7 linked regions of the Oryzias latipes genome follow. The protein of the gene in region 6 interacts with the protein of the main gene of each other region in a pairwise test. Links are inferred from orthologs where the notes say so. Each region holds a gene or a part of one and is shown on either strand. Other genes may lie near its edges. The genes, in order: nif3l1, dusp12, snx15, pbx3, ric8a, rabac1 and syt16.

Region 1 (4,219 bases), on a different chromosome or scaffold from region 6:
GAGATTACAGTGGAAGTGAACATGCAGAGCAGCAGGTGAACGCCGTGCAGCCGCAGAGAAGACCGACTAAACTTTGTTGAACAGGTGAGCTGTATGTTTATTGATAACGTTCCAAATGTCTGGAAAGTCATTTGTTCGATTAACGATTCATTAAAGTTGTATTTATTGATGGTTGGTTTGCAGGATCTCTGCAGCCCGACGAAGCCGTTGTCGGTGTCCCTGCAGCTGTTCGCTTGAATCCTTTCTTCCTCCACCAAAGACAAGACTCTACGTCTGTGTGACGCTTCCGTCACACAAAAGGAGGAGCACTTTTTTTTTTTGGCATTTTCAACGTTCCAAAGCTAATATAAAACACTATTTTCATTCCTCTTTATTGTTTTATGCTGAAACGGGACATTTCATCTGCAGGAGGGGGCGTTTGTAAGACTGTTTACTTCCGCATTGGTGTTGGGATGACAGGTTCATGACGTAATGAGACAAATGAACTTCAGGATATGTGAATGGAAAGGAAAATAAAGGCTGCAGCGGTCCTCTACACCCAAACGTGTCTCTGAGCTCCTTATTTTACCTATGAAACTCCGCTTTACTGACACTGAACCCCGGAAAGACTACTACACGGAAACTAATCTGATTTTGAGTCGCCAAAAGGTTCAGAATCTCTTTGTTTTAAACCTATAATAATCCGGAAATGAAGCTTCACAAAAGGCTCCACATACTTCATCTTCAAGCTAGGTTCCGATAAACGGACAACTTCGGTGTTTTTTCCTTAATCTACGACTTTTTTCTCGTAAATTTATGAGATTTTAAGTCGTAAATTTATGAGATAAAAAGTCGTAAATTTACGAGTTTTTATCTCCTAAATTTACGAGATAAAATCTCGTAATTTTACTTTTTTTTTTTTTTTGGTGGCTCTAATTTTTTTTTTTTTGTGGCCCTAATACTCCGTCGTACATTTCTGAATATATTCCCCAAAAATCTCAAACAACCTGGTTCCTGTAGAGATTAAGGATGTTCCTCCATCACAGGCCTTAAGCTCCTTCATCACTGTGTTTAGTTCCTCTGTGCTTCTCACTGTGAACTCGAGTTTATGACAGTGGGAGGCGTTACCAAGAGCCTGACTCAGCACAGACACTTGGCCGCTGCCTGAAATTCAAAGAACAACCCAGAAAAAAGCAGATTACAGGTTCACATGCAGCCACAGCAAGCCTAATGCAATTTCCTGCCAGAAGAGCTCCTTACCAAGGCCTGCAACCAGCCAGTCATTTACCCCTCCTTTAACACTGTCCCATGAAGTGTGAGGGGAGAAGACCGCAATCCCAGCCTCTACCGCCCGGATGGCCAATCGCTGCTTCCAATCTTTCTGGTTCAGTCGCTTAACAGGACGGAACAACGGCGGGTGATAGGAAATAATGAGGTCACAGCTCAAAGCCTCTGCTTCCGCCATGACTGCATCTGTGAGGTCGTTGGTCAGCAGGATGGTTTTGACCGGCCGAGGTTTGCTAGGCTCGACCAGCAAGCCGACGTTATCCCATGACTCAGCAAGAGACAGAGGAGCGAGCTGCTCCAGAACCTGCAAAGTTTCCTTTAACTCCATGGGGCCAGTAAAGTGGGAGCAGTGAGGAGGCTGGAAGGCGGAGGAGAAAGGAGGATGCAGAAAGGATGAGCTGTTGATGATTCGCTGTTGAGGAGACGAGGAGACAGAGGGAAGAGAAAATGATGCTGCTGAGGCAGAGAAGTGGAGTTCACTTTTAGGCTTGAACCTTTTACACATCCAAGTTCTTCTATGTACAAGTGATGCAAAGATCAGAAAGAGATTCCTGCATCCAGTCAACATGAGTGGACCATCTGCATAAAACAAAAAAGAACACAAAAGTGGGCACTGGGTGCTATTTTTTCCCTTTCGAAAACATATCATTAAAATTCAAGTTCCCCAATTACAAAAACGAACAATCACTGCTAACTTTAAATACATTTTTCTCAAATATCTTCAGGTTTCATGTATTTAGTTATTATAATATCACCTATAATAGCCCTTAAATGCCTTCAAAGAAGAGGCTGTAATATACTTATTTATTCCTAAAAGCAACAGCTTTTTTTGCTCGGTCGAGCCGAGCAAACTTTCATTCGTTTTTATGCATATATACTTTGCTCCAAAAATTTAAGTCTGCATATAAGACTTTTTTAAAGGCCATATTTACCCTCTGAAGAAAAACTTAATGTGACTTTATTTCCAGTTTTTTTTCCTGACCACAATATTAATTTTTTAAGATATTTCATTGGAGATTTTGGACTACTTCACCACGTAAAGTCGTGGAAGATTATAAAACTAGGTCTGATCCACCAATTTTGCTGAATTTAAGTAAAAGCAAATTTGGATAATTATTCTAATCCATCTAATCCATCAAATAATAATTAATGATTTTGATAGAAACATAATATACACACACGTATGTTTAAATAAAAAGATCTACTACCTGCACACGATTTTTATATGACCAACACAAGCACAACAATGAGTGACACACATGCGGCTAAGCACAACTACCTACCCCTAGCTAAGCTAGCAGATTAGCTGCGCTACTAGTGTCTTGTAAATGTTGATAGAAAATCACCCATTTTATCAAAATTCAGTGTTGCTATGATGAGGTAAAAGCCGTTTCAGAGCATTGGCAAATGTAACGATCTTGTCATACGTTCAGGAAGATATCAGAAACTTTGTGAGCTAGCATGAACCTCTGCGACTGTCAGTCAGAACTTTCTGCACAACCCTATAAATGTCCCTTTCGAGCTTCCGTTGTGTATATCGACAAAAAACGGGACATAAATAAATAGGCGTGGCTTCTGTCACATTATATTACGATACAATGTTTTAAAGATACATTATAATGCCAACATTATGACATTTTATTTTATTTTATTTAACTTTAAATTTTGAGCATTTATTTTGTTTAGGATATTAGTTAAGATTCATTGTCTAATTTTGAAAAAGTTCTCGGAAGGAAAAGTCGCTTTTAAAAGATTTGATTATAAATATGGTGAAATCTTTGGTTAATTTTGTGGCAACTGACTCTTATAAGGTTACCTCAGTTTTAGCATAGTTCCTTTAATGTCATGCAGAAAATCATTTCTGGAATTTTTCCAAACAAGTTGAATTCTTTTAACCACATTTTTAAGCTATGCTCCTTTCACAGGAAAAATAAAGTTCTTTAAGCATTTATTAATTTTCCTGTCCTTATGTTCAAAAAATTTGTTCACAAATACGTTACCAAAAAAAACCTTTTTGACCTGCAAATATTTACAGAGCTGTAAGCACAACGTTGAAACTATTGGTCAGTAGGCTAAAAGTGCAGAAGCTGCCTTACTCTGTCAGTGAGTAGTTCTTTATTAGTGATAAAAACAGTTTAATTCTCTTTAGACTGAAATTCTCTGACTGTGGACATTGCATTCTAAAAATGAAAGCTTATTTGAACAAACAGCTACTGACAATATGTCAGAGACGTTAAATGGAAACCAAGAGGGCATTAGCTTTAAAAGGTGCGTTTAATCAGCCATCCTAATAAATCCTTTTGGTGTTGCATAATAGAGCTCAAATGTAATGTTATGAAACAAAATTACTGATTACTGTCAACAGGAAAAGGCTAGATGACTCTGATAAGCTGTATTAATTCGAGTGGGCAGGTGGTCCAGAAGATACCCAGGGATCCACTTGCCTTTTCTCAGAAAGATTACCGACCACATAGTAACACGCAGATGAAATCTGTCTGCAGCTGGTGGTCGTGAAGGGGTTAAACATGCATTTTTGGCACGACAGCAAGCTTCTGGACAGAATGGCTTCTTTTGGATTAAGTCAGAGAGTGACCAAGAGAGAGATATTGGGGATTAATGCATTAAAGGTCGATGCTAGATGTTAGGAAGGGGGATCAGGGAAGGATCAGCGCAAAGGCCAGCCAGAGTGTATTACATCATCTGAGTCTTCCTTTGGCCTCATCTTTCTGTCCGTGCATGACATCTATCAGAATAACAAGGTCCTGCTCTTCCAGCAATCACACAATTTACATTGTCAGGACAGTAAAAGCATTGAAAAATCTGAGGTGTTGAGTTTTTGGAACAGAAACAAAGACTTAAAAAACACTTGAAACAAAAAAGTATGCTGTTATTTGGAGTTACCGTATACATTGCTTTGTTCTCAGTTGTTTGGTTTAGCATATTGGCTTTTTTT
Region 2 (4,157 bases), on a different chromosome or scaffold from region 6:
AAAAAAATAAGATTTTTATGCTAAAGAAAATTTAGCCACTAATTACCATATCTAATATTTCTAAGCAATTCACCTGCACTTCCGGCATCTGTATGACACCTCGGAGGAGCTGGAGTGGGCGGGGTCATTAGCAAAAATATCTCTTGGGACTTGCTGCAACTCTGCTTATACACAAATAATAAGAAACAAAAGTTGGGAAAGGAATTCCCTCCTGGTGTTCATCCACAGCAGCAAAGCTTTGCTTTCACCTGGATATCTCTCTGCAATCTTGTTCAGCCTGTATTGTTTGTACAAAGCACTAGATGTGTCCACCTGACATAGCATGGACTCATACAGCTGCAGCTGCTCTTCAAAACCCCTGTTGACCCTGAAACACACCCAAAAAAAAAACAAATGTTATCTTTTAAGCTCTTGTTTTAAATACAGTTTTACCTTTTGCTGGTGTATACATGACAATGCACTTATTAAGATTTTTTTAAACTTGTTTTTCTGAAATGATAAAAAAAAATCATGGAAATAGTCCCCATAAAATCTTTTACCCTGCTTTACTTCTATATTCCTTTATCAGGTTTATAACAACTGATTTTTTTCATGTACATTGACTTTCAACGTCTGTTATGTTTCTAAATAAAAGCTTCAGTCTTTTTTCAATGTTCACTTCTGGTGAAAATGCAGTTCAAGTCTTCAGTTTTCTGAAAAGTAGATGTTGGAGGCAAATCAGCCACAAAGGAAAATATGTCATAGCCAATCAAGAGACAGATGGGACAAAGATTTCCTCTCTACATGCTCCTTCTAAAATCTTTTTCTTTTTTTTTGCTGACATTTGTTGTGATAAAGTGACAGAAGATGTATTCAACAGAAGTTAAGCTTTCTTTAATAGCAAAAAAAAAGCTGAGTTTATGAACCCCCACATTTGATATAGGTTTAATTAATATTTTTATTAATGAGCAGCCCACTAGAAGCACTTTTAGAATTTTTTTTAACTGTAATTTCCAAAAATATATTGACAGAAACATGAAAAACTTTTTTTTCACAGCCAATTGCTTACCTACAATGCTGACAAACTGACCTAGCCAATTTTGAAATACCCTTAACACAAACAGAAGACATACTGGGAGAGAAGGGAATGACAAATACTTACTGAACATCTTGTTTGACACTTTTCAGTCTTTGGTAAGCTTCAGGGAAGGCCAGATGGTGTTTCTTCATTAAATATGCAGTCACAATGGTGGCGCTGCGGCTTCGACCTGCATGACTAATGTGCACAAAAAATAGTTTTTAAATAAGCGTTGTCCTTCTGCATTTTGTGCTTTTATATGTCGTGTCATCATGCACCAAAATGGATTCAGATTGCACATGGTTGCATAAATTCAAGGATGGAATGCGTGGAAAACACAGAAAGGAATAATGAAGCCATATTTGACTCTTACCAGTGAACCAGTGTAGCTCCGCCCCCTTTTACAGCCTCATCAATGAATATGTTGCAGGCGTCCAAGTAACTGAGCAGATCAGTCGTCTCTTCATCTAAAGCATTGATCCACTTTCTGATGAAGTTTCCTGTGGCAGGAATCTGTGGACCAGGATCCACAGATTCCACAGACAGGATGTGGGTGACCGAAGCTGCAGCGAGCGCCTGGCAGTCGTTCAGGTCAGCTGCAGTGCCGATGTACACTCCTGGATCTACGAGCAGCATGACTTCAGAAAAACACACAGGGATTAAAGGAAAGTAAAGAGAAAAATGAAGAAAAGTCCTCAATATTACTGAGCACAGGAAGAGTTGTGGAGCAGACCATCTGATCAGTTTGATCTGCGGAATTATTGAGATATTGAAACTGGCCCATTCATTTCCAGGTAGAATCATTTTAGCTACACAGAACTTTCTGGCCTTTCACAAAGCATCTCATTTGTTTAAATGAAAAGCAAAGTGAAAAAACATGATATTTTGTTTTCTTTGCTTACATATAGTAATAAAAGTATTTGTAAAACGTCTCTATGAAACAAAAACATTCCTCACTATAAATAATTAAAAAATCTAAGGATACAGAGTGAGTGAAGAGGATTGAACGTCTTACTACTTACTGCTGTCTGTGAACTGTATTATGGAATTAGTGTGTATGTTAATAAAGTCATAACACATTTTATGGCAAATATGCTTATTCTTCTTCTTTTAATTACTTAAATAAGGGGGTGTGACGTCACTAAAATATGTTTATTTGAAGATTTTTATATGTTCATCCCCCCCTCCCTCCCTCCCTCCTTATGTTCACTATTTCAACTTTTAAAAAAAACGCAGCATCTTCCACGTTAAATGTCTTTCCAATTTTTACTTTTCCTTTAATTTTTACAAGTATCACATTTTGTTGTGATAATTATAAAAACTACAGTGTAACACTCAAATGTGTGACTGGTTCTCTGACCACAGAGCAATACGGATTTAAATGGCATCACCGAGCTTCCATCTTCATCTTTAATTTAGGCTTAATGTAACCCAGCCTTCTCGGGTCACATACCAAGACAATTACCTGATTTCTTACCAAACAGCAACGCCCTGCTGCTAAACACGCGTGCACATAACACCGTGGTGCTGTGACAGCCAGCCTCGCAGTTAACTAACTCCGTTAACTAAACTCGTTAACTAACCTCATTTACTTGAGTATGTCGTTTCTTTCCTTCCTGCAAATTTTGGCTGCTTCAAACCTCAAAGCATCAAACGTGCAAAACACACAAAAACTAACTTTAAGACGGACCCTAAAGGCGTGAGCACCAACGGGACTGGTGTTTTTGTTCGTCTCTTAAAGCTGTAGGGAGGAAACACGACATCATTTTATAGTTCCGCTGATGATGATCGCACCAACACGTGTTTTTTGTGTTCTGCTGGAAGGTTTGATATTTTTACTAAAACAAAAATAATGTCATGACCTACTCCTCTTGCTCTAATTTTTTACAAATTTTTATTTATAATAACCATGTAATTTCCCAAACCCAAAGATTCATATAATGCATGCAGCAACAACTTAATAAGGGGTCATGTCTGAAGCTTTCGTGAGCCCAAAAAAACAGCTCTCTCTGATCAGAAAAGTTTTAAGTGATCAGGGAACTGTTTAATAAAGTTTGCCTAGCATCAATCTGAGTCTTAAAACTTAATTTTGCCTTTTCTATTTCTGTTTTCAACTTTTTTGTAGCAGAATTTTGTCATAAATATGTAACCAACACGAAAAGAGATTCAGAGACAGAGCTTTTCCCATTTAAGGTGTTTTTTTTCAAATAGTTTAACTCATCATTGAAGCAGACTCACACAACTAAACACACACATTTTGCTCATATGGCAAACATAGATTTTCTACTGGGAAGAAATTTTTTGTTCTGTAGTAATGTAAAATCTGAAGAACTCTATAAAATTTGGGCCTATTTTAAGAAATCAATAACATTTTTTACACACACTGATGTCCTGCAGACATTTACATAAAAAAAACAGAGTTTTCCAACCATATTATATTTTGTTAAGCGTGTATTAAAAGCAATAGTTTTTAGGATTCCAATTGACAGCATATACTGAGAATGTAGATTCAATAAAGCCTATTGTTGTATTTGTGTCAGTCAGACTTGACTTGATTACCACAGTGAAATAATGTGTGAAATAATGTGTTGTGATGGGGCTTTTTTTATGAGTGAAAGGTTATCATGTATGGAATGATTTGGGATGGGTCTGAGCAGGTATTAAGGAGAGCAGATTGACCCCTAATGTGCACCTGGATGTTACTGATCCAAAAACATTCAGTCATTGACCAAATGGTTGCTGGTGTTAGTTTTTGTTTTAAATTACAATTTTTATTGCAATTATTAAAATACGATAACAATAAAAGAAGAGAAAATAATATTTCCCAGAGAGAAGGCCCTAGTTTGAATCCTGGCTGGGACCTTTCTTTGTGGAGTTTCCATGTTTTCTTATGGCACTCTGTCTTCTTCCCACAGCCAAAAATCCTGCTTTAAAAGATTATTTGGTGACTCTAAATTTCCCCAAGGTCCCTAGGTTTGCATCTGAGTGTGTGAGTGTGTGGCCCTCCAACAGACTAGCAAGCTGTTCTGGGTGTACACAATAGTTGCTGAGTTGGCAGTAGCAACCCCGTGACCCTGAAGATGGATAGATGGATAAAAGA
Region 3 (2,277 bases), on a different chromosome or scaffold from region 6:
TGATTTTACTCACAACCCTCTCAATAGGGTCACCTGCTAATCATGTAGTGCTACAACTCACAAATACACATTTGTTTAGATCATTAAGCATTGAATAGATCCAGAATCCTACATTATTCCACCACTTTTCTTTAGCTCAATCAATTATTGCACCTGATTTGATCTATTTTCTAAAGAGCTTTACAAATGTCAAATAAAGATGATCAAAGAGATGTTACTCCATATGCATTTTGCTTGATACTCAAATCTTAACTTTAGAGTAAGGAAAGGGGAAGAGTGGCTGCAAGCTAATAAGAATGTGTCATAGGATGGATCCACTAGTGCCTGTCCTCTGCGTTTGTGTAACCGTCCCCCTCAGACAGGGAGCCTGAAGCCTTTCTGCCACAGACCCGACGGACTCGTCCGCTGACCGGATCCTGCGTGGGGACACTTCATTCTGTGGATGCCAGTCCGCTGAAACATGCTCCCCCATGTGGAAACAATAACAGCAGCAAATGCATTTGTGCAGCTGCTCTGGAGCAAATCCACAAACAATCCTAACTGGACCATAGCAATACCTTTACGCCATGTTACTTCCACAGAGGAAACAGTTGCATTGAGGAACAAAAATAGCCTATGGATCATTTCAGATAAGCAGCTCCTGCATGTCAAATTTGGATACAGCGGAAATTTACAGCACAGTAACAGGAAGGTTATCTAACTAAATTTACTTAAGTATCCTTCAATACAAATAATCTAAACTCTGTTGATTTAATTCAAAAATACCACATTTTTATTCTTTGGCCTAAAGTTGTGTGTCCTAAAACTTGTCGTTTTCTTTGGACAGTTTCTGCAGAGCGGCAGAACTTCGTTAAAATTCGCCTCTAAGTTGATAGCGGGACAGTTGGTGCAGAGAAACCCCCACCCCCTTCCCCTCCCTGCTGCTGAGAGCTCTCTGTTTACATACTCTTTCGCTGGCTTCCAGCCCCTCAAACCCCTAACCCCACATTCCATGGATCCAGTCGTCTATTGGATGAATCAGAATGGAGCAGAGCAGGCAGCTTGTGGCACCGCTCAGTGCATGTTTTTTACGCCAAAACTTCAATCTTTTTCAAACTGCATTTTTTGTCTGCTCCTGATTTACAACAATTTGAATAAAGAAATACTCAGAGATGCTGTTTTAAGCTTAATTCTCCTAATATCTATAATAGAAAAATGCTCCAAGAACATGTTAAAAACAACAGAAACATGGGTCCTTAGCTTCATCACATGACTCTTGAGTCCTAATGTGCATCATAAACCTTGCAAGATAAAATGATGGAACTAGGAAATGTTGCTTTGTTAGCTTCCCAATTTATTTTTTATGTTTTTGTATATAATATCTGTAAATTAAAAGTAAAATATATTTAAAAAGATTAAATAAAAGCTTTGGGATACTGTATGCACAATCCATAAATATTTCACCATACCTTGCACTCCAGTGATCAGGATATCCACAGCCGTCCTGTAACCCCGAATGGCAGAGCTGAACTCTCCCTCCTTCTCCCTCTCCATGGCGGCCTTCAGCTCCTTGGCTGCTTGGTTCAGGTATCCCACGTCCCCCCCATTCAGACTGGAGGGGAGCAGGGAGAGCAGCTCTGAGTGATCGGAGGAGAAGCCCGTTGCTTCTGGAATAGAAAAGAAGGGATTCCTTCAAGTGCTTATTCAAAATGTAAAATCCCTCCATCATCTTAACCCGCTATAGCCCTTTTGGGATCATGGGGTTGCTGGAGCCTGTCCTGGTTACTGTTGGTAGCCGGGACAATGCACACATGCACACCTAGAGACGATTTCAATTCACCAAATGACCTATAAAGCATGTTTTTGGTCTGTGGGAAGAAGCAGAAGTGCCCGGAAAAAACCTGCACATGTAGAGAGCTTGCAAACTTAAACCAGGGGCGAGAGGGCTATCCACTACGCCACCATGCAGCCAATGTTTGAATCCAATTTGTAAATTAAAGGCACAGGGATGTGAAATATTGCAGTTCTGATTAAAAAAACTGTATGGGACCTCAAATTAACAAATAGGTTATTTTTCTTTGTAAAACTTCTTGAATAAAATTAAAACACTGATCTAAAAAATCATATTAATAAGACTATTAGTTTTGAATTAAAGCAGCGAGCCGTGTTGTATGACCCATAAGTGATACCCGTCCCCATTTCCCCGGCTTTATTTTCCCCCTCTGCCTCTGCCACCCCGGTCAGAGCTGCATGTTGTTGTTTTTTAATGGCAGCATCTCTGTTGGTTAAATCTCCATA
Region 4 (4,293 bases), on a different chromosome or scaffold from region 6:
AGAAGCAAGCAGATGCTAGTTATATTAATTTGAATTGGAGTTTGATTTGGGTATAAACAGAGATGTAGGATTGTTGTTAAAAAAATATTTTTAATGAATACAATCTGGAGTAAACTGATGCTATATTCAATGATTTTCCTGGTATATTTAACCTAATATTTTTGTAAAAATTAAATAAATTGTTGCATACTCAGACATTGAAATATTTTTATTTATCTCTCTGAACATTTAAAGTAAAAAATATATATAAAAATGTTAAAATTTGAATAAACTAAGTTTTGGGAGATAAAGGTTGTGCAGTGAGGTGTTAAAATCCCATTCATTTTTTTGTTTTTTTTTTCCTGCAGTTTTGAGCTTGAGTGTAGGTATTTTACTTTTTTCACATTTCCACAAATAAAGAACAAATTCTCTCTGAACTCTAATTACCTCTGTTCATCGCTGAGTAACTTCAAAAAGTCACAAATGATCAGAATTCACATTTTAAAACTGGGTGAGGTGTAGACAGTCCAGTTTGACTTTTATAAAATGCACTTTTCTTTGCGAGAAATAATGCATGATTGTAGGTGTTTTTCTTCTGTTTCTGTTTGCAAAGATATTAATATGAAAATAAGTCTAGGAATAGAAAACCACGAAGTTTACTGTGATGCTTCATTTAAAGAGGAATCACTCCACAACACTTTCACTGGCGAGACATATGTAGTAGTGTTTTTCTTTTCTTTTCTTTTTTGTTATATTCCCATCTAAATTAAAAATAAAAGTAAAATAGAATTAGTCTATGTAAGGACCAAAGAAGAATTGGAATTAAAAGGGTGTTTTAATGTTTTTTTTAATTATTTTTTGTGTTTTTTTTTGTTTGTTTTTTTAAGATATATTTTTGTCTGAATTAAACATAAATTAAAATAGTATTCACTTGTTTAAGGACCAATGCAGAATTGTTATTTAGAAGGCTTTTACTTTTACTTTATTTATTTATTTGTTTGTTTTATTTGTATTTTTATTTCGAAGATTCCTGTCTAAATTAAACATTAACTAAAATAGTATTAGTTTCTGTAAGGACCAAACCAGTAAATTATAATTTAGAGCTGTAAAAAGCCTCAGAGTACTATCAAATAACCCTAAAAAAGTCCACACCTCATTTTTTCCATCTTACTACTTAATTCTTTTCGTGAATCCGTGCTAAACTCTCACTGTAGAGGAGCATTTTTGTTGCCTTGTATCCAGCTCAACAACTTGTCTGCTGCCATAGCAACTGCGGAGGAGCACCCAGCGCGAGCGCCGCCCGCTTCGTTCAGTCGACGTCACGCGTAGCAACGGCCAATCACAAGTTCCCATGTTTTAGCAAGACTGACACACGAAGTGGGAGGGCGTTTGGCAGCTTGTATCCTCCGCCAATTGGACAGAGGGCCCGTCACTCTCTGCTGTTCTCGCCTTTGATTGGCCAGTGAGCTTTACTTCCAATAATATAAACATGTCTGCCGCTCGCATGGCTTGAACCGAGGCTTGAAGAGCGACTATGCCACATCAAACTGTATAAAACTCCCATGAATTTGCCTGCGGTGTGGGGGCTAAATCTTTATTATTGTTGGAGATAATGCACATAGCTGCACGTGCACGCGTCACGGAAACGAGGACACCCCGCCGCCGCTGCAAGAAAGACAGAGGGGACTCTGCCGTTCTTCTATCATTCTAATCACCATCCTAAGTACTAGCTCCTAACATTTTGTGTTTTGGGGCTCAGGCGAGAAGTGACAACAACATAGACCCCTCCTCTGCAGGGCGGAGCGTGCATTTTCATTTCGTATTTTGTCTTTTTTTTCCCCTACCATTGTAGCCTGCTCTGACACGTCTGCACTGAGTGAGTGGCATTGGCACACTGTCAATCGCTCACTACCGCTGCCATCAAACACATAAAACACACAGGCAGAGGCTGCAGCTCATAAATTTCAGCAGGGCAAGATATTTTTTGCGCATCGTCTTAATACACAATCCTAATTAATTTCTTGTCGTTGTTGCTGCTTTATTTCCTTAACCAGAAATCTTCCAACTTTTTTTGGTTAAGATTTCATATTTTTATAGGAACATTTGGACACCTTTGTGCTACAGATTGTTTTTTTTATTTTTTATTTTTATTTTTTTTTACATTTGACAATTGTCGCTGGAAACATTCCGCGCATTTTGCTGGCAACACCTGCCGAGATTTCTTTGGTCTGTTTCCACATTTGGATATTTTTTTGTTGTTGTTCAGCAGGAGGATATTTTTAAATTTTTATTTTAATTTTTTTTTGGCATCTTCAAGAGGAAATGTGCCGGGAATCTGGTGAAGAGCGCTAAATAAATGAGAGGTCACTAAGGAGCGTTTCTGTCAACACCGCCGGTCAAATCAGAGCAAGAGGTGGAAAAAGAAAAAGACTGCTGCGAGGACTGGATATGATGGACCGTCAATTTTGACAAAGAAGTTTTCGGAAGAAGAAAGATTCATGTGTTTTCTCCCAAATAGAGCTGCGCGTTTTGGCACTTTGGACCGCGCGTAAAGCAGCGAGACGACGCCGACAACTTGGACACATTTTTACGCCTCAGAAAAACAAACAAAAACAAAAACATCCCCCATTTAGTAGTGAGACCGACAAATAAGCCAAAAAGGGGGACATCTGTGCTTTTATTTTGGCCGGACAATCAGTCGTCCATCCTTTCTGCTTGCGGCATATGCTATAGCCGATTTCGTATATGAGTTTTTCAATTTGTGTGGCTCAGTGCACAGACTCTTTAGCGGCTACTATGGACGATCAAGCCCGGATCATGCAGTCGATCGGCGGTGTTAGTCTGGCCGGCCACTCGGTGCAAGGAGGCATGGCACTGCCGCCTCCACATGGACACGATGGGACAGACGGAGACGGACGGAAGCAGGACATCGGTGACATTCTGCATCAAATAATGACCATAACTGATCAAAGTCTGGACGAGGCGCAAGCAAAGTTGGTTGATTTCTATGATTTATTCCATTGACTGTCCACAAAAATAGTCCCCAGCTGCAACAATGTAATCATGTGGCCCGGTTTACTTTGACTGCAATGTGCGTAACAATAGGCTGAAGTGGCTGGAAAGATGTGGAGGTGTAGCTTGTTGATGGCAAAATTGGCACAGAAAAATAAAATCCAAAGTGGCTGCGTTTTAAGTTGCAGAAACTTTGAGTTCACTTGTTTTAAAAATGCATTTACATCTGCAAATAGTTTCAAACCCCCTATATTTTTTTGACAGAAAAGATCATCTGAAGTTAAAAAAAATCATTTTTGAAGTCATCAGTGCTTGTTTTCTTTCTTACATGTCGCTTATCAGTGAACTTATTTCAGTATTTTATTTTTTGTCTTATACTGAAACAGGAAACATGGACTGAACTGTCACAGAATGAAACCAGCACTCTTCAGCGTTCTCTGTGAAATCAAAGAAAAGACAGGTAAGACCAAAAACACATGCAGAAGTTAAAAGAAAAAAAAAAACCAACAACTAGTAGAACATGCATTTTATTGCATCTCCCAGTAATCTAATGACATCCTTCATCCAAGTTACACAGAATTTCCGCCCAAATGAATCCATCATCTTCTGGTTTAAAAAAAACCCAAAACCAAAACAAAGCAAACCAAACTAGCAAAAAACAAAAACATGCCATTGTGCCGTGAGGAAAGGCCACTGCTTGCACAGTACAGCAGGTAGATTGTGTTTCCCCTGAAGACGCTTTTGTTCCTGCTAAAGTCTTGTTATCCAGCACTGGTTGCTTGGATTTAAACAGAAAGCACGCTCCTTCATTCAGCCTCATCACGCTGGCACAGAATAGGATGGGGAAATCCCGCAGCATATGCTCTACACAACTAAAGATCACACAGAATTCATGCTTTCTAACATGACAATTGCTATGCATTTTAAGGAGACTATATAGGCACATAATCTGTTATGGAAACGGGGACATGAACAACAGTGTGGATAAATGCAAATTAAAGAACAGAAACAAATATTGATTGATGGAAATTTGAGTTTTTAAAAATTATGGAAAAAAATTGCTGCTGGCGTATTTGCTTTATGAATGGCAAGTAAATTACAGTTCACATTTTACTGACTTATTTTAAGAAAAAAACGGTCCTTTATTTAAATGAATACCACTGTATTTACAATATTAAAGTGTTAATGATGTAGAAAAACTGTAGACAGTTATGAATAAAGCTACAATAAAATGATCATACAAATTTGCACAGACTTCATCAAATACCTGATATTTATGTGAAACAAGAAAACCTATAAGCA
Region 5 (3,500 bases), on a different chromosome or scaffold from region 6:
GGCTGCTTTTTCTTTTCTTACTAGCACTGAGCTGCCGCTCCCCCTTAAATTTGCCCGTATGGCCCGTGCCTGAAGCCGCCACTAAACCCTCTGACTCCCTTGCATGCCAGGGAGGGTGATCGTATATTCCTCTGCATGAATGTTTCTGGCTGTTTCACAACTATTTAGATTTGGAGTCATTTTTCATCTGTTTTCTTTCTAGTAGAGGATAAAGGGGGAGATGAGGAAGGGGAAGCAGATACGCTCAGAGCTGCAGAGAAGGAAGCCTCTCCTCCTGCAGAGAACCCTGATCTGGAGGTGATTGTCGAGGCTCTCAAGTCCATCTGTAACATCCTGCTTCACAACGAGACTGGACAGGTGAGCCTGTCGTCAGCTCTGCAGCTCACAGCCAGCGTTTGGTTAGAGCTGAAGTGTTGATCTGATGACTGTCTGCTGTTGATGACAGGCGGTGGCGGCAGAACTGCAGCTCATGAAAGGTGTGGCAGAGAGACTGAAACACTGTCGTGATCCCACGTGGAGCTTTGAGGTATGAACCTCCTTCACACTTATTTTAATGTTAAAGTCAAACACTTTTACCAAACCATCTAAACATGAAAAGAGCATACAAATGTAGCTTCAGTGATTGTCTGTCTTGACTTCTTCTCTGAAAGCCTCCAAACAAATCCGTTCCATTTTAACAGAACACTTTCATGAGATAAAAAAAAACAAATCAGTTGATTATATTTGCTCTTTTTTCTCCCTTTAGAAACTGTCTTTGAGCAAAAACACTAAACATCGTATTTGTCTGTGCAAGGACACTTTCAGTTTAAGAAAATCCTAAAACTCTGGTAAGATTTTGTCTTTACTACAGACTGCTGTCTGGTAAGATGTACTGGCTAGAAGCAATGTGTTTGTCTTTTTGTGTTACACAAAATGTGAGTCATTTACTTCTGAATGACTCGTGGATTGATGCAAAGAGAAACAGACCTCTCCTGAAAAAAGCAGCAGAACTACAATGGATGAAGAAAACATCAGTGAAACTTTGAAAGTTCTTTGGAGAGCGGTCTCTCAGCCCAGAAACCGAGTGACGTTCAAACGTTTTGCACCGAGGGCCAGATTTGGTGAGGTGAAAATGAGTGATGGTCAACCTTTTGGCCTAACATTCTTCGAACTATTTTAATAGCATTAAATGCAAATGAACTACTTAATGAACATATGTTCATAATTCACATACAATACAAATATATCTAAATCCATTTTTACATTCCTTATTTGTCACACCATTCGTTTCCAGTTAGCTTGTCGCTGATGGCATCTCAGGTAGCTCTTCTTGATATTGAAAACAGCCATAGTCTCTTGGCATATTTGACAGACGCAGTTGTTTCATATTTCACTAAAAAAAAAAGCCCATGTCTTGGACTTATCCTGGTGGCGGTGGTTCTCACTGTCAACTTTTCCTTTCATTTAAAGTTGACATTTTAGAGGTGAGCTTGAAAGAGTCACAGAAGGACAGTGTTGCCATGGTTTTACATGTAGTTAGGCCAATCACAATCAGGAAATCCCCCACAGTTTGTAGAAAATGATGGGGGCTGCATATTACTGTTTTGATGACAGGAGCCATCCGGCCGGTGGAAATTTGAACGCTGATGCATTTGGTCCATATGTTGCAGGCTAAAATAGTTCTGGTCATGTTTTGTCCTCAGACTTGCTGTTGTGCTTGTTTTCCAGGTGCGTTTCTTTGACTTGCGCCTTTGCTTCCTGCTGACCGCGCTCAGGGTGGACGTGAGGGCACAGCTGGCTCAGGAGCTTCACGGCATCAGTCTTTTGGGTAACGTGTGAAGTGTTTACTCTGCTGAGTTCTGAGCCTGTCTCTCAACATCGTCCTGCAGCTTCTGGAAATGTTACAGAGTGACAGAACTTACAGAGTCAAAGCACAGAAGAAGAGGAGGAGGAATGGATGTGATGTCAGAAAGCACCGCAGATGCTTGAGGAGCTGCAGACAACTCAGAGAGGGGGGGGGGTTACAACTCTTCACAATAGTCAGAAAAACTGCCTGTATAAATGCATTCAAGCAAAAAGCTGCTATACATTATCAAACTTGGCAGAAATGGGGGCGTAGCCTCTGACTGACAGGTGATTGTGCAGATGTCTGCTCAAGAAACATATGATTGGGCTTGTTCCCACAGCCAACAATCCAGCAACTCCTGCATGGCAGCTTATGTTGCTGTTTCAGCAGTTTGGTGCAGTTAGAGGGAACTGTTTTTGGAGTTGACTTTGGCCGGTGTGGGGTCTGTGGCTCCTCAGAGAGAGAGCAGCTGAACGTCTAATGACATCTTACTTAGTTCATTCATTTTCCATTCCCTTTTGGGGTCACAGGGCTGCTGGAGCCTATCCCGCCCACTTGTAGGCGAAGGCAGGGGATGCCCTGGACAGGTCGCCAGTCTGTCGCAGGGTGGAATGGCCACACTCACACTCACGGGGAGAACATGTCCCCCAGCTGGGACTTAAGGCAGGGCCCTTCTTGCTGTGAGGCAAGATTTTCAAATCAAAGCTAAAAACTCATCTTTTCCAAATGGCCTATTAACTTTAACATTAACCTTTTCATGTTTTTATATATTTTTTATTTAATTTTGTATTTATTTAAATTGTTGTTGTTGTTTTAAGTGTTTATTGTATTTTATACTGTATACATGCTGTGCGGCGACCTTGAGTGCCCAGAAAGGCGCCTTATAAATAAAATGTATTATTATTATTATTATTATTATTAAGAGCACTAACCACTGCACCACTGCGCCACCATGCAGTCTATCTTACTCAGTGAGATGGATTTTATCTACGCTGGAACTGGACTTCTACTGCCGATGAGGATAAATAGAGAAGCTTTTAATAGAAGATGGAAATGTGCTGAGAAAAAGATGCCTTGTTTTTTTTTACCAGGTAACCAGCTGGATGCTGCACTGGGTCTATGTTGGCCTGATCCTCTGGAGACAGCCAGGGTGGGGCTGGTAGGGGTCCCTCTCGAGGAGATGCCTCCTCTGAGCAGACAGCAGACAGAGCTAGCCATGGAGATACTGAAAATCCTCTTCAACGTCACATTTGACACAAACAGACGCAAAGTGGATGAGGTAACCACAGTAATGCCACATCAAGGCCAGTTTATCTTCTCAACATCTGAAAACCACAGCTGCAGCTTGACTATAGGTCAGCATTTCTACCTGACAAGCTTCTTCTTCTGCACGGCTGCACACAGTGCAACAGGCTGAAGATGAACCTCTGATCGGAAGATTGATATGTTGAAGTGTCCTTGGGCAAGGGACACCACCTTGCCTTTGGTGGTTGGCGCCAGTGTTTGGCAGGAGAGCCACCATCAGTGTGAATGTGACTGTAAAGTGCATTGGACCTTCAAAGAAGGTAGAAAAGCGCTATATAAGTATAGTAGGGGGGTGTATTGGCAAGAGTCTGGTGATACGATACCGATCCCAATATTGTACCGGAACACGTTTTTCTCTTTTTTTGTAAGA
Region 6 (4,265 bases):
TCTGATGAGGGACATTAAGCTGTTTGCCTGGAAAAAAACAAAGTTGGCAAACACATGAAAACATAATTCTCTGTGGCTTTCTATAAGATTCTCCCATTTCATGCATGGCTGAAAAAAACTCTGAAAAAAAGTTTTTTCACTTTCAGGCAAGTTAAGGACAGCAGTTTTTCTGTTTTACTTACCAAGAACAACCAGTCTGGACTCTTGAGACTTCAGGTGGATTATGTAGAAGGCACCAAGAAACACAGCCAATGCAATCAGTAGCATAGGGGAGCTTATACTGACAAGAAAAGAAAAAAAAAAAGGCTCATAATGCTGTTACTGATTCAATCTTTTCTTTTTCTTTTCTCAATCCCGGTGGCCTTAGTGTGTGCAGTCAGTGTTGCATCTGTTATTTCATAAAACTTCAATAATGTTTTGAGGTAAGGCCAAAGCAAACTCAGGTTTACACCTACATGCAGTACAGGATGAGACCCAGGAAGATGAAGGTGTAGTTGCTGTTGTAAGTTTCCACATTTTTCACCACTCTCTGGCATGCATCTCCGAAGTTTCGTGGTTTTGAAAACTTGCGTTGGTCCACAAAACTGGCCCACGGTCGAATGGACAATCGGCGCCTATCAATCCACTCCTTGGCCATGCTGGCAGAGAAGCCTTTAGGGAGCCAGAGCCTACAAAATAAAGGTAAAATGGTAATAAAGCGTACAAACTCTCAAGGAAAAAGTCAATGCATTACAACTTTTGACAATATGAGCAAAACAAAAAAGTATTTTGTAGTTTGATTAAGGAAATTCTTAGAAACTTTGACAAAACAAAACTTTAAAAAAAAAAAAATTTTAAGTAATGAGGCACAGTCTACAGAACAGGAGGATGAGGATTTAGGACTAACTCCACCCCCAAAAGTGGATGTGTAAAGACAGTAACTCACAGAGCCTTAGCACCATTGCTGTGGTTTTTCTACAAACGCTGTTTAATGTCCACGTCCATCACCGAAGAAAGTTGTTTGGGTCACTAAACTCCTTTTTAAAAAAAACAAAACTGACTCGTACTTTGAAAGGATTCCAGCTCCACCCGTGCCAGTTGGGTGAGCATCTTCAGCCGTAAACAGATCTCCAGCCTTGCTGTCCATGTCCACTTGACAGTTCTCTCCCTTTGGTACTCCAGATGGCATCTGCAAACCTTCTCCTGAAAATAAAAGAAAATAGAATAAATAAAATAAAAGAAATAGTCTTAAGATTTTTCCTTCACATACTTTTTTTTCCCCCTTCTTCGGATCAGCACAAGATAAATAGTCCAAAAACTGTGTGGAAAAATGGCCTTCCTTTATATGGAGATAGATGTTTTTTACGAGAGATGAAGTGGGATAAAAGAATATTAACGTTTTTGAGTTTGAGGTTGTTTAATGAAGAGCCTAAGTATTAATAATAATTATAGAAAATCATAAAATAGAAAATATATACATATGACTGAAGACATATACCCAAATACTACAATGGGTAACTGAGTAAACAAATGAACGGAAGATAGAAGCTCAGGAAAGATCTGACTCCTTTTCTTTTCCTTTTTTGCCTATTGTTTACTGTTAACATGCAGATAAGTGCATGCCAAGTTTGCATGTGGGATGTTGTTACATCATTGGGTTTGTCAAGTGGTTTAAAGATTTTGTTTTGTTTAGTTTCTCCATTTTGCTTCTAAAGTTAATTTAAAAAAAAAAAAAAGAAAAAAAAAGATTGTCTTATTGGAAGTTTGCATTTTTCCTCGTATTTTTCAATGTACAAACGATATGTATCCTTTATAAAACATGTCAGAATTTTTCTGGATTCTTCTTTATTTTCCCCTGTTTAAATGGGAAATAAAACACCATACACCATACAACCATACAATCTTTACGATTTTTGTAACACTCCTCGAGGTGCATCAAAAGCAAACTTAAATAAATAAATAAAAAAGGAAAAAGGAAAGGAAAACCTGTTTACTTTATTTTTTAAAGGTAAATAACAATTGATATATTTTATAAAATGTGTTTAAAATGGAGAAACAGCAGTAACTACAAAAGAAAAACTACATGATCACTAGTTTCCACATTATTCTTAAGAGCATAGAGGTTAGATTTTAATTCAAACTTGTTCCTGATTGGCCAGAAACATAGGAGCGGATCTCGTAAGTGGAAAATTTTTGTCAACAGGGCTTGGTCACTGCCACATCACTGACAAAGGCCGAGAACTGAGCCAGAAAACGACATTTTGAGCAAGTAAAAATCTTTTAAGGATCAAATTTGTCCATATGTGTCGAATTATAAGTGGAATAACTTTTATAAAATGAATACTACCTACTTCTTCGTGTCTCATGTTAAATCAAACTGATTGTACGAAGATCACAGTAATTTATAAACATTGAAATGAAAAGACATAAGATTTTACCTTCGTGATGTGTCAAATGTCAAACCTACAGACGATGTAGATACTTACAGACCAAGTTATGGATAAAAAGCCAAGTTGTTTTGTTGCTGTTGGTCCTCACGGATGTGATGTGGCTGAAGAAGAAGAAGAAGAAGAAAAGAACTTCCTACAACACCAATGCCGCACACTGCCCCCTGCTGGTTGCACCAAAGAACTCCCCAGTCTATGATGTTATTTTTTCCCTTACATTTAACCATATAAAAATATTTTATTCATTCCTCTATTTAACTTTGAAGTCGACAAGAAATCAAAAAACATTTTTAGTGCCAAAGTGACAGAGATTACTACCTTGATTCTTTTAGGAACAATCTGGGAACAATCGGTATGTTAAGTGTGGCAAAAACGTGACCTTACGTTATGAAACCCAGCCCGAGAGCTGTGATTGGTCAATTTACGACTCACGTCTAGCCACTGTCACGTCGCACGTTGCATTGTGGAAGTTGCTAGATCATCCAGCGTCAGGCAAGCTATCGCGGCTGAAAGGTGAGGTCTAATGCACTCTAGGAATATTCTCTTTGTGGAAAATGTAACCTAATAGTGTTTTAAAGGCGCGTGTTTAACGTTACGCTGTATTAGTTGACGCCTTAGCGTCTGCTAGACTAATAAGTTCAGCGGGATTCATCATCATGTCGTCGCACCGACCGTCGTTGAAACAAACAATAGACCGTCTTATTTGTCTCTAGAATTGTTTTTCTGCTAATTTTGCGTGGTGTTACGTGAAGTATAACTGCCAACGAGCTCCTGTGTGTGTGTTTTTAATCGAACAATTGAAGAGCTGTGTGTTTTGTATGTGTTGTCCCCCACCCTACTGATTACATAACTCTGTTCAGAGGAACGGTACCGAGTCGGTAAAGATAACATTAGCAATTGTAGCTAGGCATATATGACAGTAATTAAACACATCTCGATGCATTTCATTATAGGTGGTAGCTGCTTGCAAGTTTGAAGAAAATCTTAAATAGTGAGTGTTCGTTTGTGGCACACAATGTACACACAAAGACTTAACATGACAACTACTAGCTACAATTAAAATACCCACTCCGATGAAAATGAAAATTTAGCTTAGAATTGCATTTCTGAGTATTTCTTTATGCAAACTGATGTGAATTAGACGCAAAAAGCTGTTGCAAAAAAACGTGTAAGTGTGACGTAGAAGCTACTACACCAACCAAGCTCCCTCACTGCTCCATTCTGATGCTTCATTCTGACACATTTGGGCTTCATTTTCCTCGTCTGAGCTGCCATCTGGCTCAAAACTGTACGGTTGGATAGCTCCAATATTGTTCACAATTTTTGTTGCACCACTAATGTGCAGTGGAAGTTGTGATTGTGAGGGGCTGTAAGCGAGTGTGTAAAGGGATGGTGGTAAGGGGGGGCTAACTCCATGCCAGCAGTCCTGCCCACGACTCTGGGGGGTTAATTTCTAATTAACTCCTGCCGCTATGCAGAAACCTTCCTAGAAAACAACACGGGGAACGCTTTGAAAATATTTTAAAAGATGATCGGAGTGGGGCCTTCAAATTGTTACGTTTTTTAAATGAAATTATTAATTAAGGAACCTGATACCATTTGTTTGGTTTCAAGTTTCAAACATAAACATGGTTAAAGTAATTTTTTTGTGTTTGTTTTCTTTTTCCCCTAAACTCCACAGTTTTATTTGAGTGGGAAACTTGGAAAAAAGGGGTAAACCATGGCTTCAATGAATTATCCTGAATGCACACTGAAGAATTCCTTATACTGGGATGAAGCAGAGTGCCTTAACTACTATGGGATGATGTCTCTTCATGAGATGTTTGAAATAGTCGGAGC
Region 7 (3,984 bases), on a different chromosome or scaffold from region 6:
AACCGGCAGGGAAAAAAAGCGGGTAAACCATGACGTTGATTTGAAAACATCTGTGAAATGTGAGGTTTCTTCCAAACCATTAGAGAAAACAGAAAAAGAAGATTCTGAGGTTCTGGACTCTCCAAACCTTGAAGAGACCCGGAAGTTCTGGACTGAAACTCTCCTGAGACGCACCTGAACATCCTCTGTGAAATGTGGTGGTTTTTCCCACAGTTCTCTTGGGTGTCTATCATCAACCCTACTGGAACCACAAGCGGACTGAGGAGACAAGGTTACACAACCTTCTGATACAAAACTATCCTTTATTTAGCTCATTTCTGCTAAGCTGCAGCGCAACCTGCACACACGTGACATTTATGATGCAACATTAATGCCACAAAAGGAGAGAGAAGAGGGAAATTATCCACAGAAGGAACAATAAATCTCCTCTGTAAAATAAAGTTAAGGTAGAGAATCTTCTTTAAAAAAATATATTTTTTGTGGGTATGGGGGAGTCCGCATCCTGCTTTGTCTTTCTGCTCAGGGATGTTGAAGACCCACTCCAAGAAAAGTGCTGTTTTGGTGTTTTTAGCATGTTCTTATGGGGAAAAAATAAAGCTTCAAATTGTATTTTTGAGTATTTCTATATCCAAATCATTGTAAATCAGGAGCACACGAAAAAATACAGTTGGAAAAGGCCTGTAAGTGTGATGTAGAAGTTACTACGGCAGGCCACCAGTTCCCTGCTCTGCTCCATTCTGATGCATCCACCTGCAGACAAATAGATCAACGATTGTCTTTGTTTTCCTCGTTTGAGGGGAGATCTGGATCTAAACTGGACAGCTGAATACCTGATCCTGATCTAAACAGGGGCTGTGAGCCTGGGGGAGATATTGTAAACAGAGAGCTCTCAGGAACAGAGAGGATAAAGGGGGGATGGGTTTGCTTCCACAACTCAGAGATGAATTTCTCCTCCAGCTGCTCTGCAGAAACTACGTCCTAGAAGATGACAGGCTGCGAGTTCTGCTGCACGAGAGATGACGCAAACCTGAGTGAGACGGGTTGATTGTTCCTTTAGTTTACTCAGCATATGCTAATAATGGGAAGCCTTTTATTATGTAAGCTAATATTCCATGTCCTCTCTTTTAGGGATTAAATGATGAATCAAAATTATTTTTAAAAAGTGGTCAAATGAAGCAGAGTGATCCAGGCAGCTATGAAAAGAGGAAAAGGCAAAAAGTAAACAAGACTTTTGTTGCCAAACTTCCAAAAGTGCTGAAAGACGGATAAAATAGGAAAAACAAAACCAAATTAAAACAAAACTCTTTAGTAAAACTTCACTCAAAAGGAATTCTGTGGATTTACTTCAAAGCCTTGTATCAAGCGGTTGCAGAAAATTACATTAAGTGATTGTTGTAATATAAATATTAAATTTATTAAGTAATATTTATGCAAGTGTTTTAAAAATAGGTGAAAAATAAAGAGTTAAATAAAAATAACAAAATGCACTTTAGTAAAAATGAACTATAGTTCTTTTTTTAAGTGCTGACAAATAAAGAAAAGACAGAAATCTGTCGTTCATTCCTTCTAGAAAATGAGAGATTAACAAATTAATGCATTTAATACATTTCATTTTTCCAAAGTAAAAATAATGTATAGATCATAAAATCCTTTTTTTCTTTTACATTTCAACATGATTTCAGTTTTTAAATTCTTATCAAAACATTTGGACACTTGACATTGATGTTGTCTGAAAGTGAACCAGTAAGGATTCGATGTTTCACCCGACAGGAAGGATTTTATTTTTCAGAGGGGCCCCATGTTGTTGTTCGCCCCCAAACTGCTAAATCTGCCGCTCCATCCATCCATCTTCAGAACCCGCTGAATCCCTTTCAGGGAGTTGCTGGAGCCTATCCCAGCTACATTTGAATCAAGGCGGGTGTACCCTAACAGCTCACCGGTCTGTTGCAGGACCACACACACATATGCTCACCTATAGGGACATTTTAGAGACACATAATAACCATAAGCACGTGTTTGGACTGTAGAAGGAAGCCGGAGAAAACCCACACATGCTCCACACGGAGAGATCCCAGCTGGGATTTGAATCAAGCTCTTTTCACTGTGAGGTGAAAGGGCTGACCGCTACACCACCGTGCAGTCCATTCTGGAAGAAATTTTATCCAAAAATCTGCAAAAAAATAGGATTTTTTCTATAAATTTCTGAAGCTGCTGTGAGACTTTGTCCTCCAGGGCTACAACAGGAAGCTCTGCAGGAGGACACACAGCAGCATGGATGCTCTGAGGTTCTCACTGCATCCATGGACTTCTGTTGGGGGGGGGGGGGGGGGGGGGGGGGGCTACCACCAACAGACCACAGTGTGGGGGTGGGGGGTGCAGCCACGCAGCAGGTGCGTGAGGAACCTGCGGAGCTGTCTGCTCCTCTTCCTCCTGACGAAGCTGCTGCAGCTCAGAGGATGAAGATGCTGCAAACCACGACTCCCCGGAAGCACCGACGTTAACCGAAGACGTTACGCCAGCGCGCGAGGAAAAAACAATCTAATATTAAAATGGCCTGCGTGCCGTTCCGGGCTAAATGAAAAGAGAAGAACCCGTTCCAACAGCCACTTACTGTCCGAGGAGGCCATGGCTGCGGGCGTTTCCTCCGGGCGGACGGAGCTTCCACGGCGGACATCAGGCAGCAGCGTCCCCGCCGCTTCTCATCCAGCGGAGCGGCAGATCTGCAGCCTCACGGTGCCTTCACGGACTGTGGGAACTTTGCACTTCACAGTGATCCTGAACGCTCCGCTGCACGTCGTCAGATTCCGATCACAGCAAACAGAAGTGATGTGGAGCAGCCTCTTTAGAGGGGGGGGGGGAGGGGGGGTCACGTAAAATGTCTTAACGATTAACGGAATCTGGCGCCAGCTGCCTCCGAACCGCATACCCCTGAAAACCCTGTAAAAAGATCACATTTATCAAGAGACCTGCGCGCTACATTTTCAATTTGTCATTGAAATGTGGACAGTTTCCCACCAAAATGAAAACTACCAAAGTAATTCCTTTATTTAAGACAGGGGATAAGCAAAGTTTTACAAGTTACCGTCCAATTTCTTTATTGCCTCAGCTTTCAAAAATATTAGATAAACTATATAATTCAAGATTACTTAACTTTATACATAAAAACAATTTGCTATTCAACAGTCAATATGACTTCCGACAAGGAAGATCTACATCCCTTGCCATAATCGAACTTGTGGAAGAGATTACTAATGTTGTTGTTTCTCTTTCGGCTTTTCCCATCAGGGGTCGCCACAGCGAACAAGTCACATGGTAAACTTGGCAATGTTTTACGCCGGATGCCCTTCCTGACACAACCCTCTCAAAGCAACCGGGCTTGGGACCGGCACAGAGGTAAAGAAGGGAACAGGGAGCAGCCCGGAGTCAAACCCTGGTTTCACAGACGGAAGGCGCCGCAAACCAGCACGAGCTAAACCGGCCCCCTGGAAGAGATTACTAACTGTATTGAAAAAAATAAATTCCCTTGGAATTTTTTTAGACCTGCAGAAAGCCTTTGATACGATTGACCATCATATTTCACTGAATAAATTGGTAAAGTATGGAATCAGAGGATTAACACAAAACTGGTTAAAGAGCTACCTGGAGGATAGACAGCAGTTTGTACAGATTGGTAATAAGAAATCTAAAAATAGGAATATCATCTGCGGTGTACCTCAAGGTTCAATTTTTGGACCAACTCTGTTTTTACTTTATATTAATGATATTTGCAAATGATCAAAAATGATGAAATTCATACTTTTTGCAGATGATACCAATGTTTTATGTTCAGGGCAGAACTTAAGAGAAACTTTTAAGTGAAATAACTCAGGAATTTTACAAGTTAAAATATTGGTTCAATAGGAACAAATTATCATTGAATCTAAAAAAGACTAAATTTATGCTGTTTAGGAGAGAGTAAGGACGTGCAATTGCAAATTATTATTA

What was found.
Region 1: the proteins of rabac1 (region 6) and nif3l1 interact in binary tests that used the Homo sapiens proteins (3 or more experiments, as listed by UniProt). The two-hybrid records come from large-scale screens. The link is inferred for Oryzias latipes from reciprocal best matches to the Homo sapiens genes RABAC1 and NIF3L1.
Region 2: the proteins of rabac1 (region 6) and dusp12 interact in binary tests that used the Homo sapiens proteins (3 or more experiments, as listed by UniProt). The two-hybrid records come from large-scale screens. The link is inferred for Oryzias latipes from reciprocal best matches to the Homo sapiens genes RABAC1 and DUSP12.
Region 3: the proteins of rabac1 (region 6) and snx15 interact in binary tests that used the Homo sapiens proteins (3 or more experiments, as listed by UniProt). The two-hybrid records come from large-scale screens. The link is inferred for Oryzias latipes from reciprocal best matches to the Homo sapiens genes RABAC1 and SNX15.
Region 4: the proteins of rabac1 (region 6) and pbx3 interact in a two-hybrid assay, tested with the Homo sapiens proteins (2 studies listed by BioGRID). The two-hybrid records come from large-scale screens. The link is inferred for Oryzias latipes from reciprocal best matches to the Homo sapiens genes RABAC1 and PBX3.
Region 5: the proteins of rabac1 (region 6) and ric8a interact in binary tests that used the Homo sapiens proteins (3 or more experiments, as listed by UniProt). The link is inferred for Oryzias latipes from reciprocal best matches to the Homo sapiens genes RABAC1 and RIC8A.
Region 7: the proteins of rabac1 (region 6) and syt16 interact in binary tests that used the Homo sapiens proteins (3 or more experiments, as listed by UniProt). The link is inferred for Oryzias latipes from reciprocal best matches to the Homo sapiens genes RABAC1 and SYT16.

Annotation. Positions count from the first base shown.
Region 1 is NC_019877.2:7,709,729-7,713,947, reverse strand, and holds the start of nif3l1 (NIF3-like protein 1), read right to left. Parts: upstream 2,801-4,219; 5' UTR 2,730-2,800; coding exon of another isoform or gene 2,694-2,729; intron 1,846-2,693; 5' UTR 1,835-1,845; coding exon 1,240-1,834; intron 1,144-1,239; coding exon 987-1,143; intron 1-986. UniProt on the Homo sapiens protein: May function as a transcriptional corepressor through its interaction with COPS2, negatively regulating the expression of genes involved in neuronal differentiation.
Region 2 is NC_019875.2:21,143,335-21,147,491, reverse strand, and holds the start of dusp12 (dual specificity protein phosphatase 12), read right to left. Parts: upstream 2,801-4,157; 5' UTR 2,641-2,800; intron 2,581-2,640; exon of another isoform or gene 2,523-2,580; intron 1,696-2,522; 5' UTR 1,694-1,695; coding exon 1,431-1,693; intron 1,256-1,430; coding exon 1,142-1,255; intron 368-1,141; coding exon 249-367; intron 162-248; coding exon 74-161; intron 1-73. UniProt on the Homo sapiens protein: Dual specificity phosphatase; can dephosphorylate both phosphotyrosine and phosphoserine or phosphothreonine residues. Can dephosphorylate glucokinase (in vitro).
Region 3 is NC_019876.2:12,564,201-12,566,477, reverse strand, and holds part of snx15 (sorting nexin-15), read right to left. Parts: intron 1,647-2,277; coding exon 1,449-1,646; intron 1-1,448. UniProt on the Homo sapiens protein: May be involved in several stages of intracellular trafficking. Overexpression of SNX15 disrupts the normal trafficking of proteins from the plasma membrane to recycling endosomes or the TGN.
Region 4 is NC_019867.2:19,128,976-19,133,268, forward strand, and holds the start of pbx3 (pre-B-cell leukemia transcription factor 3), read left to right. Parts: upstream 1-1,493; 5' UTR 1,494-2,724; coding exon 2,725-2,972; intron 2,973-3,371; coding exon 3,372-3,451; intron 3,452-4,293. UniProt on the Homo sapiens protein: Transcriptional activator that binds the sequence 5'-ATCAATCAA-3'.
Region 5 is NC_019864.2:5,139,317-5,142,816, forward strand, and holds part of ric8a (synembryn-A), read left to right. Parts: intron 1-202; coding exon 203-357; intron 358-445; coding exon 446-526; intron 527-1,707; coding exon 1,708-1,807; intron 1,808-2,916; coding exon 2,917-3,104; intron 3,105-3,500.
Region 6 is NC_019874.2:20,935,573-20,939,837, forward strand, and holds the start of rabac1 (prenylated Rab acceptor protein 1), read right to left. Parts: upstream 2,801-4,265; 5' UTR 2,745-2,800; intron 2,531-2,744; 5' UTR 2,466-2,530; exon of another isoform or gene 2,418-2,465; intron 1,183-2,417; 5' UTR 1,169-1,182; coding exon 1,047-1,168; intron 669-1,046; coding exon 456-668; intron 281-455; coding exon 183-280; intron 28-182; coding exon 1-27. Other genes in the region: dedd2 (DNA-binding death effector domain-containing protein 2), read left to right, coding at 4,147-4,265. UniProt on the Homo sapiens protein: General Rab protein regulator required for vesicle formation from the Golgi complex. May control vesicle docking and fusion by mediating the action of Rab GTPases to the SNARE complexes.
Region 7 is NC_019880.2:23,657,749-23,661,732, forward strand, and holds the start of syt16 (synaptotagmin-16), read right to left. Parts: upstream 2,801-3,984; 5' UTR 2,628-2,800; coding exon 2,612-2,627; intron 1-2,611. UniProt on the Homo sapiens protein: May be involved in the trafficking and exocytosis of secretory vesicles in non-neuronal tissues. Is Ca(2+)-independent.